4 linked regions of the Arabidopsis thaliana genome follow. The protein of the gene in region 1 interacts with the protein of each later gene in a pairwise test. Each region holds a gene or a part of one and is shown in the gene's direction. Other genes may lie near its edges. The genes, in order: WOX14, AN3, GIF3 and GIF2.

Region 1 (3,907 bases):
AAGGTTGAGTATGAGAAGAACATGAAAGCCTACAACAAGAAATTGGTAATTGTTTATTTGCATATAGAAGGCTATGTTATGTTTATATTAACCACGTTATTGAGTTGTCTACTCTCTTTATACTAGTCAGTAGTCACACTATTCAAGGCTTTCTTAATTTGTTTACTATATATTGAAGTTTGAGTTATGTTTATTCTAAACAATGATGATACAAGCAACTGGTAATTTGGTTAATGGGGGTGCTTGAATAATGGTGGTGTGTTGTGGTTTCAGGAGGAAGGCCCTAAGGAAGATGAGGAATCTGACAAGTCAGTTTCAGAGGTTAACGATGAGGATGATGCTGAGGATGGCAGTGAAGAGGTAAGTTATTTTACACCTCTGCAATCTAAATATCTGTAGTATGAATCAGTAAAGCTTTGTATTAACTCTGTTATACATGTGATGTAGGAGGAAGACGATGATTAAGAAGTTGAAGTTGTGGTAGCGTAATATAGAAGGCTGCAAGGAATCTCTCGGATGTTTTTATCTCCTCTCTTAAAATGTTAATTCGGGTGGTTAAAGTGGTTTTTTTTTTTTTTCTTTTTCTTTTTCTTACTGATGTTTCGTTTTAGTAAACTATTACCTATCTCCCACTGATTCTACGGGTAATGGAAAAAGTGAATGTAGAATGTTTAGATGGTGAAATGAGAGATTTGTAGCTCTATATAATGAATGATTTAGTTTTTAATTCCTCTACGTTTTAATGCTCTTTAGACTCTTTGTTTCTAGTTGATATGAGGATTTATACCCCTGAAAAAAATATTAGTGTAAACCATGTTTTTACTTAAATCATATTGGGGTTGTGAGTCCTATTGCATAATCACGCTCTTAATCAATGTGTTCCACAAAGAGTAAACCATGTTTTCACTTTTTATTTAGTTATTTGACTTTAGACACAGGTTGGTAAAATTGTTTTGAGGCTATACTTGAATTTTCCAAATTACCAACGCCATGATCATTTGGTTCTCTTTTCATCTTTTGAAAAAAAAAAATGGTTTGCATCAGCTTAATTAAGAGTTTCTCTTTGGATTGTATTACTTCGTTTGATTTAAGAAATAAGTAAAAAATTTGATCATTTTTGACAAAAGTGAAGATTTTAGTGAAAATCTGCGTATTAGCAGCAGAATAGTCTCACTTATGTTATAAATTTTTAGTCAACATCTTTATATCAAAGAACCTTTTTGGTCAAATTCGTACATTTTCTTCTTAATCAACTTAGAAAAAGAAAGAAAGCATGCTCTTCTTTTTCCATCAATAGTTTAATCATTAGTCATAAGTCACAACGATAATATTTTATATAATGCTGTGATTAAGCCTTGCTTCCGGCTTTACCTAACCACTATATACATAAAGTAAGATACACAGTTTGTGTTCCTCTACGGATGTAACAACAATACCTGGTTTTAATTAGGTTGTTTTTATATATTAGTGTGGTGTCTTATTATGTCATCAACACATAGGATTAAGATCTTCTTAGATACATATTTTGGATTAGCACATTTTTCTATTTCAAATGGTAGATATCTTGACCCGTAAAACTCGATTAAAATGTTGAAATTCTAACAAAAAATTGTGAATACCGTCGACCAAAATCTATCCTAGTGAAAGGCCATAGTTCTCCAATGTTTTCAATATGTAACCAATGTAATAAACCTGGTAACTGTAAAAATTAAATTGGTCCAATTGATCATTAAACAAAGACATCTTTCCAAAAAGTGTTTGATTTAACGGTAACAAATAAACTAAAGATCCCTTTATTCATAAACAAAAGAATATATATATCATTCACTTTCTCATTGTCTTGTTCATATGGTAAAAAAAAAAAAGGAAAAGGAGAAAAGCAAAGAAATAGAGGAGATGGATAGAGAGATCCAAAACGGTGCGTATAGTGGGAGAGTGATGACTGAGGAGCAGATGGAGATTCTCCGTAAGCAGATCGCCGTTTACGCCGTTATTTGTGACCAACTCGTCCTCCTCCACAACTCCCTCTCTTCTTACCATCCACTCTCATCAGGTACACTTCTCTCTGTTTTTGTTCCTGATTAACAACAATCACTTTTCTATGTATTTGATTTTTTTACAAGAGACCATTTGATGAGCTTCTTTGTATACGGTAGAAGAAGTGTGTAAGACGAAAGTGTTTAAACGCAGCGTTTTTTGCGATGCAAACGTTGTTTCCATTAATACACTTGACCCATTGAGACTTTAGTGTAAAAATGTGAAAATTGTGTTTGCGTTTGGTATACAACTAACGAAATCCAAGGCTTTTTTTTTCCCAGTGTTCGATGCATAACTTTGAATCAAATTTCATAATGTTTTAGACATTCGAAGACAGTTTACCTACCGCTTAGATATCGATTTATCATTGCTAAAGATATTTGTTAATATAGTTTATGATTTGCTTAGATCGAACAATTCAATATATTATTAATGTTTATTTTCTCTAGACGTAAGCTGATTTGAGGGTTATCATGTCGTGGCCGATTTTTAAGAAGCTTGAGTTATTAGTGCTTTGTGGTTTTGATAATACATATTTTGTACATGGAAGAAACTTAAGGGTCACGTCACTTATTTTTTTATAATGATTGAGTGTAAAAAAGGAGTGAGGCCAATGGTTGGCGGATACTTTGATCCGATGGGGGCATCGTCAAGTTCTCATAGGATATCGACTAGGCATCGGTGGACTCCGACTTCAACACAGCTTCAGATACTTGAGAGCATTTACGACGAAGGAAGTGGAACACCGAATCGACGGAGGATTAGAGAGATCGCGACGGAGCTGTCTGAACATGGACAGATCACGGAGACAAATGTCTACAATTGGTTTCAAAACCGGCGAGCTCGGTCCAAACGAAAGCAGCCTCAAACGACGACAGCTAATGGTCAGGCTGACGATGTGGCGGTGACAACGGAGGAAAGGAGGAGTTGTGGAGATTCAGGGGGATTAGAGTCTTATGAGCATATACTCTTCCCAAGTCCTGACTTAGGTAAAAAGATCATTTGAGTTTTTAAACATTTGGTTAGGTTTATTTTTTATTTTTGGTTTGAGTTTGCATTTTTTTTTGTGGTTTCAGGGATTGAGCATTTGTTGAGTATAGGGAAATTTATGGAGACTTAAAATTCGTATAGACTTCGATGAAGAAGATCTCTAATCTATTCTGTTTTCTTTTACTCTGTTTTCATAAAATAGAATTGTGTGTGTTTGTGTGTGACATTAACAACAAGTCTTCAATTTTATTATAATTTTGTGTTCCTCAACTTGATATATATGCCCACATCTTTTTCAGCATCAGAAAGAAAAGTGATGCCATCTTAAACTCGGTTGATATTTTGACCGGTAAATCTCAATTCAAATGACACTAAAGAGTAGAAGCAATTGACCATAATAACCGATCCTAGTCATGACCATAGCTTTTTTCATTGTTTTTAAATTTATTGTTATCACACAAAAAATCATATAAAATCGGATATTGGTTACATGACCACACAATTAGAATATATATCAATTATTTATCCAATTGAATCCCAAAATTACCTCAATTAACTAGTAATTGAAAAAGAAAAAAAATCAGACAATTGATCCTAGTTTGACATCTTTCCATAAATTGTTTAAAGTTAACGGTAACAAATAACTAAAGATTTCTCAAAAAGAAAAATACATAACACCTTCACTTCCACATTGTCTTCTTCATATGGTAAAAAGGAGAGAGGAGAAGGCAAAGTGGTGAAAGAGGAGATGGAGCAAGAGAGCCTAAACGGTAGGTATGGTAGTAGAGTAATGACGGATGAACAAATGGAGACTCTTCGTAAGCAAATCGCCATTTACGCCGTTCTTTGCGACCAGCTCGTCTTCCTCCACAACTCTCTC
Region 2 (5,046 bases), on another chromosome or scaffold:
TGCTGCAACACTTTTCTCTATGTAAGAGGATTCAACATCAACCTCACATTAACTATAAAATTTATGGCTGTTATATAGAAAATAAGGTAGTATAAAATTAATGTCGTAAAAATTTAATATTTCTTTTAGGTATTAACCAAAATGAATTGATCATTTGTAAGCGTTTCAGAATCCTACCTTTAACTTCATAATCTCAATTTACAGTATGCAAACAACTATATTGGTCTGATAAAAAAGAAGAAATGGTATTTTTAGTTTTGTTCCTAGTGTTTTTGGTTTGCTTTTAGATGGCATAGAAACACTATTGGTTTGGTTATTGTCTATAAGACATAATTAATCGGGAAAAGAAAACAATTCATTTATCCTTACAGATTACTTTAATGTTCATACATAATACTATAGTTAAACAAACAAACATTAAAAGTTGAGCCTCCGTGGTTCATATATGCAGAAGGAATATCTCGGATCCATTTTTGGTACCAACGAATAAAGTGTTAATTAATATTTAACCACATCTACAAGAGGGTTTAACGTGGAATTAAGTATAACCACGCAAAGATAATATAGCTGTTGAATCTTTTTCTTTTTAAATTACCGACCATCGAAACGTACTTCAAGAATTCGAACAAAAAGTTAATGAGACTTATCAAATAACTCCAAACTAATTATTATTATTTTCTTTACAAAAGCATTTCAAAAACTTTAGAGACCCTTTGGTTGAGAATCATCAATATTAAACATTCAAACCAAGTTAGGGCAGTGTTTTGATGGTCGATAACTCGTCTTATTGGTCGAGACAAGTGATCGAGTTAGTATTAACATATGTAAAAAAAAAGAAACATGTATTGATCATTGTTGAGGATAAATTTCATCTATTAAGATATCAGTCAATTATAATGTGTTACGTGATTCGATAAAAAAAAAAGACCAAAAAAAAAAAGAAGATAACTATTGGTAAGCGTAAGAAATGTGTTTACATTTTGGCATTTTGCCAAAACACATAAAGATGGTTAGTGATGAGACGAGACGAGTCATGCGCTACTTTTAAAACAAAATGAAAAACATCATTAAGCTAACAAACCAAACACACTTGTTTTGATAACATGTTCTAGGGAACTAGTTATGCCAAATCTAATCCGCATAAGAAGACTAAGTCACAACATAATTCAGTAATTTGGTTGAGATTAAATCCTATAAATATGATTTTAAGGTATAAGAGAGAAGAGACTCTTTTGATCAACACAATCAAACATCTACAAAGAAAATTATCTCACATAGCTACTTCTTAATCTAATTTTTTCATTAATCCATTTTATTTTAAATGTGAAGAATCGCATCTAGATGTGACCTCTCATGATAAAAAATTAAACCATTGTAAAAAAAATGTTGTGTAAAACTAAATATAATAAATTATTAAAAAAATACAAATTCAATCCACTAGGTTAAAAACTCCTATGTAGAACATTTTTTTATATTAAAATGTAAATACATGAATCTTATTTTTCGAAAAACTAAAGACATCTTTTTTTTATATATTAATTACCAAAACAAAATAAGACGACAAAAATATTCTTTGATATAGTAAAAGAAAACTAGAAAACTAGAAAACAATAAATTACCAAAACAATCTAGAAAACAATAAATCCTACTTTGCATTACTTTATTATAAAATCCCGAAATGAATCTATAAATGTAGAAAATATTATACAAAAGTTGTAAGAGATTTTAATATACATAATTACATATATATACAAGTAAATACACCGTATATACATACGAAGGAGTAAACAGTATTATTTGGTATATAGTTACGTCTCTATATACGAAGGGTTCAAACTTCAAAGTAATAATTTAATCAACAATGTGTACATATTGATAAGTAGTAGTATATATGTAAAGGTCTCACGTCTCTATAATAAAGTATGACTCGTCACGTGACCTCCTCTTCTTCGCAGAGACAGAGATAGGATGAGACAGAAAGAAACCAACAAAACCAAACCCCAAAACCCAAGAAAAAGAGAAAAACACTCTCTTCTCTTCTCTCTCTCTCTTTCTATTTAAGAGACTTCACTGTCTCTCTCAGTCTTTTAACGCAAAACAACTTTTGTGGAGGAGAGAAAGCGAGATAACACACACACAGAGATACACATCTTCAATAGTTAAGAGTTTTCTATATACAGAAGCATAGAGGAAAGAGAGAGAGACAGATACAAAAGTTAATATCTCTCTCTCTCACTTGGTGAGACTTCTCTTTTTCCTCTGGGTTTTGTGGTGGGGGTTGTCTCTATAAAAACTTATATATATAAAATATATAAATAAATAAGAAGGAATTATCAGGTTTTATATAAAATAGCAAAAGAAATGCAACAGCACCTGATGCAGATGCAGCCCATGATGGCTGGTTACTACCCCAGCAATGTTACCTCTGATCATATCCAACAGGTTCTCTTCTCCTTCTCCTCCTTCTCCTTCTTCTTCTATTATATTATCTCTTTCTTTTTTCTTTATTATATGTTTCTTTGAATTCATAAAGGAAAGTGAAGAAATCTCTCTTGCAAGTACCTTATAACTTTTTCTTTATATTATATAAAAAAGTATGTGAAACCCTTTTCTTCTGTTCTCATAACATAGATGATTTTTTTTCATTGGTTCTTTTTTGTTTGGTAAAAGAGTTCTTGTTATTCTTGTTTCCATGTCTTTTTTTTTCATAGAGAAATTAGTTTTAATACATGTGTGTTTATGTTTGATAAATTTGGTTGGTAGAGATGCTTTGGTCACTAAGATGATTCTTTCAACTTTTTTTCTTTTCCTTATAGATTTGGTGTATTATCAGTTAACTTTGATGCTAATTAAATGTCTAAAACCAGACAAAGTTAAGAAAGATTCTTTCTTTCAATGAAAATGAATGTTTAGGGTCCAGTTGTGTTTTGAGTTCTTGAAACATGTAATGAAAAATAACGTGTTCAAAACAGACAAATCTTGGGAACTGAAGATTTGTTTCACATATCTCGTTTTTTCTTCTTGTCTTGGTTTTCGGGTTCTGGAAGTTTCATTGATGGCAAAAACCACAAAGCCATTTATGTGAATATTGTGGGTGGTCCTGTTTAGATTTGTTATCATTATAAGTAGATCTATGTGTATTTTCCAGTCCAAGTGTTTCTTTTATTGCTTACATGACCAGATATACTTTGTGGTCCGAAACAACATCTGGTCCTTATCTCAGTTTTTTTTTTGTGTGGTCCTCAAAATCTTTTCGAAGAAAATCTTTCGTTACACTTTTGTGATATTTCAACATTATTGTCTTTTGAGATAAGTCGGAATTTAAGTTACTGGGGTCTCCTTTTGAGATTTTCTATGTCTTTATTACAACAAAAACAAAATAGTATGCAAATTTTTTGTTTGTAGCATTAGTAATGATTAATGAAAATGTTTGATTGTAGTACTTGGACGAAAACAAATCGTTGATTCTGAAGATTGTTGAGTCTCAAAACTCTGGAAAGCTTAGCGAATGCGCCGAGTAAGAGACAACATATCTCCTTTATGATTTCACTTGTGTTCTGTTGAGTAACAAGAAATGATGATTAAAATGGTTATAGGAATCAAGCAAGGCTTCAACGCAACCTAATGTACCTAGCTGCAATAGCAGATTCTCAGCCTCAGCCACCAAGTGTGCATAGCCAGGTGATTGTTTATACAGTGAAGTATTCCAAATTTTGTTGTATGATCAATTGAGAAAGTGATTTGTTTTGTTTGGTTATTAGTATGGATCTGCTGGTGGTGGGATGATTCAGGGAGAAGGAGGGTCACACTATTTGCAGCAGCAACAAGCGACTCAACAGCAACAGATGACTCAGCAGTCTCTAATGGCGGCTCGATCTTCAATGTTGTATGCTCAGCAACAGCAGCAGCAGCAGCCTTACGCGACGCTTCAGCATCAGCAATTGCACCATAGCCAGCTTGGAATGAGCTCGAGCAGCGGAGGAGGAGGAAGCAGTGGTCTCCATATCCTTCAGGGAGAGGCTGGTGGGTTTCATGATTTTGGCCGTGGGAAGCCGGAAATGGGAAGTGGTGGTGGCGGTGAAGGCAGAGGAGGAAGTTCAGGGGATGGTGGAGAAACCCTTTACTTGAAATCATCAGATGATGGGAATTGAAAGAGTGTGGCACAAGGAATCTTAATGATGAAGCAGCAGCAGCAGCAGAAGAAGTAGTAGTAATAATAGGAGTCTTGAAGTTAGTGTGTTTTGGTTTTAGTTGCTTGTTGAAGAAGCAAAGAACTCTTTATTTACTTCTTTTTAGTTTTGTTATTCTCTCTATGTTTGTTCCCTAAAACAGTGAACCTCTTTCGTGGTAGTGTACCATGTAAATCTGCTGGCTCCAAGTTGTGTCGTAATCTTAATATGTTATTTCTCTGAGTTAGACTCTTTTGCTTTAACCAGGACTGAAGTTTTGTAGATCATTGATGTTACCTATTTGGATTCTAAATCGTTATGTAGGCTATATTATTGTTTTTTTTTTCTGGCTGTTATACATAATTTTATTTTATAGTTGATAAAGTCCAACCGGTTCAGTCCAAGACTCATATGACCAGCCTTAGTGGTCCTCGCAAGGTCCCATACTGCTGAAGACCGGACCATAGCCACCCGAAGCTGCACTCAAACCAAAGACCATATTCGGGTCCATTTAAGATAAAGTCTCGTGAAGAAAAGAGGGTTTCAAAAATGTGTCTTTTGGTCCCTTTGCTTCGTCCTAGATTCTTCAAGTAGTATTGAGTGTGGATTTCCCTTAGTTGAGAGTTCCATCGACGATTGTTTTTCTAGTGTCTGGATTCCCCTAGGAGGCCAAGCCCAGCCCCTGCTTTTTACAACTCAATCACAAGCCAAGAGAAGTCTTCAGTTATTCTATTACTTCCTTCCCTTTGGCAAAACTATAAGCCTTGAAACAATATGTCACAAACACTAGTTAAATGTTTAGACCGCACCACCATAGGCCCCAAGTATGTATTTGACATGTTGGCTTCATGCCTGCTCTACTAGACTTCATTTTTGT
Region 3 (4,325 bases), on another chromosome or scaffold:
CAAGGCCTTCAAGGGAAGTTATGTTATCGATATCGTCTTTAGAGTACAATGGGAGGAGCCAAAACGCCTTCTTCTTCCCAAAAACCTTCACAAGATGAAAACAAAGAGTTATATATTTAATTAACTAACAATCCATGGAATGATGAAAACAATAAAATCTCACCTGCTCGAAGTTTTTCTTCTTTCCTAAGTCATATTTCCATCTGACTTCTCCATTTTTCTCATGAACCTAAAAAAATAAGACAATGATTCAGAGAAGAGACTCATATTTTCAAGACTTAGATTGTTTGTGAAAGCAAGAACATAAAAGATTTACCTCAACTGAAGTAGTGTTGGATGAGAGAAGAGAAATATGCATGACTACGAAACAAAGAAGGCTGAGAACGAACGCAAAGTTAAGAACTGCATCAAGGGGATAGAATCTGTAAGAAACATAAAGACGGAAAATGAGACCCAGAAAAAAGCTAAGCACTTTCTGGGAAAAGGAAAACGAGAAAAAGAACCGTTTATACTCACCGAATGCCAGAACGAGAGAGGCCAGTTTACCCGGAGAAGAAGAATGCTTTATAGCTTGGCTGAAGAATTCAATGAAACTAGGAAGCAAGACAATAACATCCAACATTGTCTCAAGAAAAGTATAGAACTACAAATTAAAAAAAGAGGGTGAAGAAATCAGCAAATCAAATAATCCCAATGCTCGCTTAAACCTTTTAAGAACCATAAGAGACTACAATGGAAATGAATATTTACCAGAAAGAGAAGGAAAAACTTGTAATTGCGTGCTCCAACACAGTTTACAATCCAAACACAATGATGATCCATCTTAAGAACACATCTTTGACCTACATAAGGAAACAAAGAACCGAATAAAGCTTTCTTTCTCTATCAGTAGAAACACAAGCAGAACATAGTATAAACAAATCAGATTTCGCCTTACACACAGAACAATGATGGCAACGAGGCGGCTTAACATTCCGGCATTTGGTACAGTAACCTAAAGAGCCAAAAGCTCCTTGATCTGTCGAAGTACCAGCCTCCAAACTGTCACCACCTCCCATTTCTCTTCTGAAATGCTCAGGAACAGAACCTGGGTCTGTAAAAACTGTTGTGAAGTAGCTCCACAACAGCATTATCAGCTGCAAAGAACCAAGCAAATCAGAAGTATAATTGTAAACCTAAACTCAGGGAGCCTAAACATTTACTAACAATCAATGGTCTAAACAATGATTATGTATCTACACTGCTTCATGCTTCATAACTACATTGCATTTCTCATTCTCTTGGCTACATAAGTTTCATGCCACATCCCTAAGTTTAAGGTTTAGGGGTTAAGTAGCAGAAAACCTAGACTTACAATTCCAGAAACAAAACCTAATCTGAAATTATGAGACTTGGAAATTACCAGGAAATGGAAAACAAAGATGATTAAGGCAGCGAGGGCGGATAAAGCTCCATGGTCTCCGCGGATCAAGATCGGCCACCATGTGCTAACTACGACGGCGTAGTAAGATACACCAACGACGGCGACGACAAGAAGGATCATGAAATAGCCGAGGACTTTCAGACCGGAGCAGAACCGGAAAAGGTTCATCTCCAGCCTGGTCAAAGGGAGAATCCGGACAATTCTTCGAGTCCGAGCCGGGAACAACCGCCGTAAAATATCCGGAGCCACGGTGAGGGATCGGAGTTTGCTTGGTTCGGAGGACAACGACGAATCGCCGTCGTGGAGCTGATATTGATACAGATTTAAAGTAACCTTCTTCTTGACACAGAAGCTTTCATAATTCTTTATAAGGCCCATTAACAGGCCCAATAAATAATAACAGCTACAAATGTTGTCTTTTTTTGGTTATCGTAGAGCTGACGAAAAATCAGACAAGGTGCCACGTGTACATTCGGTGGGGGAGACAAATTAATTGGTTGGGGGACTTTTTTGTCCTACGATTTCCCAGAAACCTCGTCGGCGAAATTCAAACAAATCAAAAGTCTTAAATTTAAGGATAATCCAAAATATTCGTTTGTTGAATATTTTTGCATCAGTTTGTTTTGCATTGGGCTCTTAAACCAATTCTATCACTCAGAATTATTGTTTTGTAATAATCGTGAGAAGAAACTTTAGGGTTTCACTGTTTCAGAGTTTTGATTGGTGAATTATAAAAGATGCAGCAATCTCCACAGATGATTCCGATGGTTCTTCCTTCATTTCCGCCCACCAATAATATCACCACCGAACAGATCCAAAAGGTTACTACTTTACTTTCTATATTTTTTGTCTTTCTGTTGTTTAGTCATAATGTCTGTTTATCGTAGCTTTGAAATTGGTTGTGTAATGATGTTTTTGAGTAGTTTAAACTGTTGTAATGAACTTTCCTTCTTGAGTATGATTTGTTTTAAAGTGTCATTGTTTTCCGCTTTAACTTTTTTTTGTTACTGGAATTGGATGTACAATCATGAGTTTGGAGTTTTTTTTTGAGTGAAAACAGAGTATTTGTATGCATATGAGATTTGAAAGCTTAAAATCAGATTGTGAAGATGACATGTTGACACAGTGAGTCACTTATTGCTGCTTCTTGCAGTATCTTGATGAGAACAAGAAGCTGATAATGGCGATCTTGGAAAATCAGAACCTCGGTAAACTTGCAGAATGTGCTCAGTAAGTGTGGGATTCTCGATACCAAGACCGAGCTATGTTAGCTTTACTGATGGTAAATAGAATATTAATAATAAAACATGGTTCTTGCTTGATTCTTTTAGGTATCAAGCTCTTCTCCAGAAGAATTTGATGTATCTCGCTGCAATTGCGGATGCTCAACCTCAGCCACCAGCAGCTACACTAACATCAGGAGCCATGACTCCCCAAGCAGTAAGTTTCTGTTTTGATCAGTTGAAAAACAAAACATTTTGGTTCTTATAGTTTGTGTGTGTTTGGTTTCTGTAGATGGCTCCTAATCCGTCATCAATGCAGCCACCACCAAGCTACTTCATGCAGCAACATCAAGCTGTGGGAATGGCTCAACAAATACCTCCTGGGATTTTCCCTCCTAGAGGTCCATTGCAATTTGGTAGCCCGCATCAGTTTCTGGATCCGCAGCAACAGTTACATCAACAAGCTATGCAAGGGCACATGGGGATTAGACCAATGGGTTTGAATAATAACAACGGACTGCAACATCAAATGCACCACCATGAAACTGCTCTTGCCGCAAACAATGGTAATATTTGGTTTTACAGCAGTTTGGAACTTATTATCACATTACTGATTTTCACCTTCTTTCTCTACCAAAAGCGGGTCCTAACGATGCTAGTGGAGGAGGTAAACCGGATGGGACCAATATGAGCCAGAGTGGAGCTGATGGGCAAGGTGGCTCAGCCGCTAGACATGGCGGTGGTGATGCAAAAACTGAAGGAAAATGAAATAGAGGAAGAATAAGTGATGCTTCTTGTTGATATCAATTAGGTTCTACCTTTCATTTTTACTTTCTTCACGATGATATAAAAAAAAGGTTTTGTCATTTTATGAGTTAGTCTCTGTTAAAAGGGTTCTGAGACAGTTGAGTTTCAGTTCCTAGATGGATGTGGAATGGTTCACATTCACATGTACAATGTTAAATGTTGTTGTATGGTATTAGTGTCACCGGTTCAATTTGGTGTATGAACCGGGTTTAGAATCACGTTTACCTGATAGTTTGCCTCCAGGTTTGTGTGATAATTAATTCCAAGGCTTGAGATGAAAAGTAACAGTTTTAAAAATGTTTACAGAATCAGCGATAACAAAATTCCAAACCAAACAAACCAATAATGTCTTAGAAGTTTTTCTTTTTGGCTCGATTTCATTTATCGTCAAAATCAACAAACCTTACAAAAGTTATGCATCGGGGAAAAGCTTGATCCGAATAATGTGTTACGCATCAACACAAATTATTACTATAACCAGCTAGAGCAATCAGCCGATCCTCAAATCAAACACAAAAGAGCAGATATTCGAAAATGAATCCATAACGAATGAGAACGATGCACGAGAAGGCATCAAAAGTTATTCAGGACGTGACTTGACGATGAAATTCTGGCGACTGATAGGGTTCATGACGACGGGAGGACCAGCAACTCTTGGCCATGCTTGTAATCTCTCTTCAGTCGCAGCACCCCATTCCTTGTTAGTAATAGTTCCTGGTGTAGTACCTGAGAGTTCAAAACAAACCAAACCAAATTTAGCTTTCTGGATACATCATAAGTAGCTTTATAAGGTTTAAAACTTGCCTCCAAAAAGCTTATCATCAGAAATAACTTTGTCACACACGTAAGCTACTACCGCAGATCCCGCAAGG
Region 4 (3,976 bases), 7.1 Mb from region 1:
CGGAGGAATCCGAAACTGCGATTACAAGGAAGGACTAACATCAAAGTCGTCACACTACTATACTGCCAATTCAAAAGGTCACTAGGATTTGTCTTAATGTTTTTGATATCAAATGCGTCATTTAATACTTCTAAGGATTTTATGGTGAAAGGAATCACATACGCACCATATTTCTCCATTTGTCCTTAAGATCGGAGGAATTACGAGTTGTGTGGAATATACCTTTTCCCATCTCCAAAATCTTCTTCCAAGGCATGTTTTTGTTGATTGTATCAGAAAATTTCTCCACTCCCTCCTATCCAAAATAAACATATACTATAAGTTTAAGCTAAAAGTGTATTTCAAGAAAAAAGTGTGGTGGTTTTACCCTCAACATCTTCTCTTCGTTGACTGTCCATAGTACCCTTTTTGGCTGATCATTAACAACAGCATAAGCTTCTCCGCAAGATTTCTCCATATCAATGAATTGATCTGTTGACTCGTCTAACTGGGAATTTCGAGCCTTAAGGTGCTTGACCAGTTCTTGTAATTGATGAAGGTTCTCATGTAGTTGCATTGGTAGTGAATTATCAGAACCATTCTCTAGTTGACTGTTTTCTCTCGTCATGACTATATCTCCACTCCTCAGCTCACTACATCCATATTGAACAAGGGTCTTCGCAGCTGCAACACCCCTTGTTCTCAAAGCCGTGGATCTAGTAGCTTGCTCCTTAAACCAACAATAGGGACAGTAAAAGGTTGCAGGATCTTCACAATCAAGCTCAACACACTTCCTGTGAACAGCGAGAGGGCATTCATTCCCAGAACAAGGTACTACACCATCGTCTGCAATATCGCATACAATACATGCGTGTTCGTTCAACGGCTCAAAGCTTCTGAAAGTGTCACTTGTCCCAAGGTAGTGGCGCTTCTTAAGAGGCACATTATCATAAGTGAAAATGTTTGGAGCAGAGTTGACGTCCTCATCACCACCATCATCACACTGAACAATACAATGAGCAATGCGCTTTTCTCTCACAAAGCCAATTTCTTCAACAATTTCACCTATCTAAGATAGAGAAGAAGATAAATCCAAGTAAGAGTGTTTACACAAAATTGAACTAAATCGACCAATTTAAGGTTATCTAAGACCAATTAAGACATAATTTGTTCTAATTACACAGTAAAAAATATCAAATTGTTCTCTAACGTATCACAAGCGACATCCGAGTAAAGACTAAAATTCGAGAAAAAATAAATTAAAGGTTTCTTCTAAAAGGGGTGCTTACATAAGGACTCTTGAGGAGAGCGATATCATCTTCATCAAGCGGGAGATCACTCACCATTTTTTTTCAGATTCCGAGTGAAGATTTGAGAAATTCGAAGGGTTTACGTGAGATTTCTTAACGAATAAGAAAAAGAAGCTACTGTATGTTACCGTTTGGTCTCTCTGTAAGTGTGTCTGAGGTTTCGAAATTTCGAATTTAGGCGAAGAAGGAAGAAACTGACTCAATGTAGTACTTTGCAATGTAACTTTCTCGATGGTCCATGGGCCTTAGAACCGTCTTAGGCCCAAATATGTCCTTTTTTCCCATTGGCCCAAATATATCCAAAACTTTCTAATTTGGTTAGAGGTTGCTCGTTGCTGTATTAATTAATGTTTTATGTTTTCGTTTAGAGTTTTGTAAAGACAAATTAGAGAGAGAGAGAGAGAGACAGAGGCATTTTTGGTCATAAAATCCACACAGAGGTGGTTCGACATCCAGGTGAATCCAAGTAATAAATTGCAGGATTCTCTCTCTATAATATATATAGATATAGCTTGCAATCATTTCCTGCGTTTGGATCGGTCTGGGTTTTGTCGAGGGTTTTTTGGGGAAGACGAAATTAGGGTTTAGTTGGGGCAAAGTAAGTAGTAAAGAAGAAGAAGATGCAGCAGCAGCAGTCTCCGCAAATGTTTCCGATGGTTCCGTCGATTCCCCCTGCTAACAACATCACTACCGAACAGATCCAAAAGGTTCCTTCTTTCTCACCCTATATCTCTCCCTCTCTCTTAATTTGTTCAACACTACTTAGGAGGCTCTTAGAGCTTTTTTGTACTGACAAAATCATTGGCTTCTGAGTGCAAGTAATACTCTTTTGACTGTAATTGGTGGCAATTAGGGTTTTCATTTGAATCTTTCTCGTTAATTCCACAACACTTGAGAGTCTGTTGTTGGTGATGATGAGAAGAGACAGTTTCTAGGACTAGGAAATTAGTAGATGCTTGGTGGGTCAGGAAACTTTGAATCCGGTTTTCAAGAATGGACATTGAAGTTAGATGCTTGCTTGATGTTGTTGTTTTGTACTTTCTCTTGGCTTGATGTCTTCCATGGTAAGATGATAGGCTGCATCGTCATTTCCTTGTCATTCTCTTTCCTTTGCTTAAACGCAGTACCTTGATGAGAACAAGAAGCTGATTATGGCCATCATGGAAAACCAGAATCTCGGTAAACTTGCTGAGTGCGCCCAGTAAGTCTCACCTTTTCTATCCATCTTCTTATGTCTCTTAGATAGTAATGGAAGCTTAGAATTACTATTATTAATGGTGAGGTTTATATAGTTATTCTATCTTTTGCTCTGTTATATTTTCAGGTACCAAGCTCTTCTCCAGAAGAACTTGATGTATCTTGCTGCAATTGCTGATGCTCAACCCCCACCACCTACGCCAGGACCTTCACCATCTACAGCTGTCGCTGCCCAGGTTGTTTGTGATGATAAAACTCAATTGCGATCTATCACAGAAATTTAATGTTGTTTGGGGGTTTGCTTACTGTTGGGTATGATTTCTGTTAGATGGCAACACCGCATTCTGGGATGCAACCACCTAGCTACTTCATGCAACACCCACAAGCATCCCCTGCAGGGATTTTCGCTCCAAGGGGTCCTTTACAGTTTGGTAGCCCACTCCAGTTTCAGGATCCGCAACAGCAGCAGCAGATACATCAGCAAGCTATGCAAGGACACATGGGGATTAGACCAATGGGTATGACCAACAACGGGATGCAGCATGCGATGCAACAACCAGAAACCGGTCTTGGAGGAAACGGTAACTCTCTTTACATTATTAAGACAATACTCAATCTCATAAATTGTAACTTGTATCCATTACTTCTTTCTTTGCTAACAGTGGGGCTTAGAGGAGGAAAGCAAGATGGAGCAGATGGACAAGGAAAAGATGATGGCAAGTGAAAAGGATCCAAAGAAGCTTTGTTTTGTTGATATTTAGGACTTGTGAGTCTCGTAAGGGCTTTTTGCAATAGCTTGTTTGAGTTTTTTAACAGAAGATAGACTGTGGAGTAGTTCCGCAAACCGTGTTGTAATGTATTGTTATTTAGTACAAGCTCGGATTTAGAAAACATCGTCATCGTTCATCTTATTCTGAAAATCAAAGCATTGAACTTATTATTTTCTCATTCCGGACGAGTCTTGACGATGAAATTCTGACGGCTAATGGGATTCATAACAACGGGAGGACCAGCGGTTCTTGGCCATGCTTGGAATTTCTCATCCGTTGCTGCCCACCATTCTTTGTTAGAGACAGTTCCTGGAGTAGTCCCTGAAATTTTCACAAGAAGATAACCATTAAGATCGTCCCTAACTTGAAAACACACACAAAACTAGATAAATCTTGAGCAGAACTTGCCTCCAAAGATCTTATTATCAGAGATAACTTTGTCGAAGATGTATGAGATTCCGAAAGAACCGATGAGAGCACCGATTATGTACTTGGCTTTACCTCCTGATGCCATTTTCTTCTAAAGCTGAAAGTGAACCATTATTACAACTTAACACTCAACTCACAAGAGGAGAAGCAACAAAGCTTATGTAAGGATTTAGTATTAAGGCCAAAAAAACACAGATCAAATTCAATTATTGAAGCTTTACTTATCAAGTTATCATATAACCAATGAAGACGGTAATTCAAAAGAAAAATAAAAGGGTTTGTAGAATAATT

The links.
Region 2: the proteins of WOX14 (region 1) and AN3 interact in binary tests that used the Arabidopsis thaliana proteins (3 or more experiments, as listed by UniProt).
Region 3: the proteins of WOX14 (region 1) and GIF3 interact in binary tests that used the Arabidopsis thaliana proteins (3 or more experiments, as listed by UniProt).
Region 4: the proteins of WOX14 (region 1) and GIF2 interact in binary tests that used the Arabidopsis thaliana proteins (3 or more experiments, as listed by UniProt).

The regions. Positions count from the first base shown.
Region 1 is NC_003070.9:7,180,710-7,184,616, forward strand, and holds WOX14 (WUSCHEL related homeobox 14), read left to right. Parts: upstream 1-1,848; coding exon 1,849-2,053; exon of another isoform or gene 2,054-2,620; coding exon of another isoform or gene 2,621-2,639; coding exon 2,640-3,026; coding exon of another isoform or gene 3,027-3,043; exon of another isoform or gene 3,044-3,113; coding exon 3,114-3,157; 3' UTR 3,158-3,347; downstream 3,348-3,907. Other genes in the region: HMGB3 (high mobility group B3), read left to right, coding at 1-51, 281-360, 448-484; WOX10 (WUSCHEL related homeobox 10), read left to right, coding at 3,776-3,907. UniProt on the Arabidopsis thaliana protein: Acts redundantly with WOX4 downstream of the TDR/PXY receptor kinase to regulate procambial cell proliferation and differentiation in vascular tissue, independently of any role in vascular. Involved in the regulation of gibberellin (GA) biosynthesis pathway.
Region 2 is NC_003076.8:10,646,936-10,651,981, reverse strand, and holds AN3 (SSXT family protein), read left to right. Parts: upstream 1-1,919; 5' UTR 1,920-2,361; coding exon 2,362-2,442; exon of another isoform or gene 2,443-2,594; intron 2,595-2,606; exon of another isoform or gene 2,607-3,440; coding exon 3,441-3,517; intron 3,518-3,596; coding exon 3,597-3,681; intron 3,682-3,761; coding exon 3,762-4,151; 3' UTR 4,152-4,515; downstream 4,516-5,046. UniProt on the Arabidopsis thaliana protein: Transcription coactivator that plays a role in the regulation of cell expansion in leaf and cotyledons tissues.
Region 3 is NC_003075.7:355,515-359,839, forward strand, and holds GIF3 (GRF1-interacting factor 3), read left to right. Parts: upstream 1-1,830; 5' UTR 1,831-2,160; coding exon 2,161-2,244; intron 2,245-2,576; coding exon 2,577-2,653; intron 2,654-2,754; coding exon 2,755-2,863; intron 2,864-2,938; coding exon 2,939-3,212; coding exon of another isoform or gene 3,213-3,286; coding exon 3,287-3,414; 3' UTR 3,415-3,823; downstream 3,824-4,325. Other genes in the region: AT4G00840 (DHHC-type zinc finger family protein), read right to left, coding at 1-85, 164-229, 317-402, 517-643, 751-842, 938-1,136, 1,403-1,591; ATOZI1 (monopolar spindle protein (DUF1138)), read right to left, coding at 4,034-4,179, 4,258-4,325. UniProt on the Arabidopsis thaliana protein: Transcription coactivator that plays a role in the regulation of cell expansion in leaf and cotyledons tissues.
Region 4 is NC_003070.9:70,674-74,649, forward strand, and holds GIF2 (GRF1-interacting factor 2), read left to right. Parts: upstream 1-1,683; 5' UTR 1,684-1,909; coding exon 1,910-1,996; exon of another isoform or gene 1,997-2,241; coding exon 2,242-2,343; exon of another isoform or gene 2,344-2,413; coding exon 2,414-2,490; intron 2,491-2,613; coding exon 2,614-2,722; intron 2,723-2,814; coding exon 2,815-3,067; intron 3,068-3,148; coding exon 3,149-3,210; 3' UTR 3,211-3,423; downstream 3,424-3,976. Other genes in the region: AT1G01150 (Homeodomain-like protein with RING/FYVE/PHD-type zinc finger domain-containing protein), read right to left, coding at 167-295, 368-1,048, 1,269-1,325; AT1G01170 (ozone-responsive stress-like protein (DUF1138)), read right to left, coding at 3,432-3,577, 3,665-3,770. UniProt on the Arabidopsis thaliana protein: Transcription coactivator that plays a role in the regulation of cell expansion in leaf and cotyledons tissues.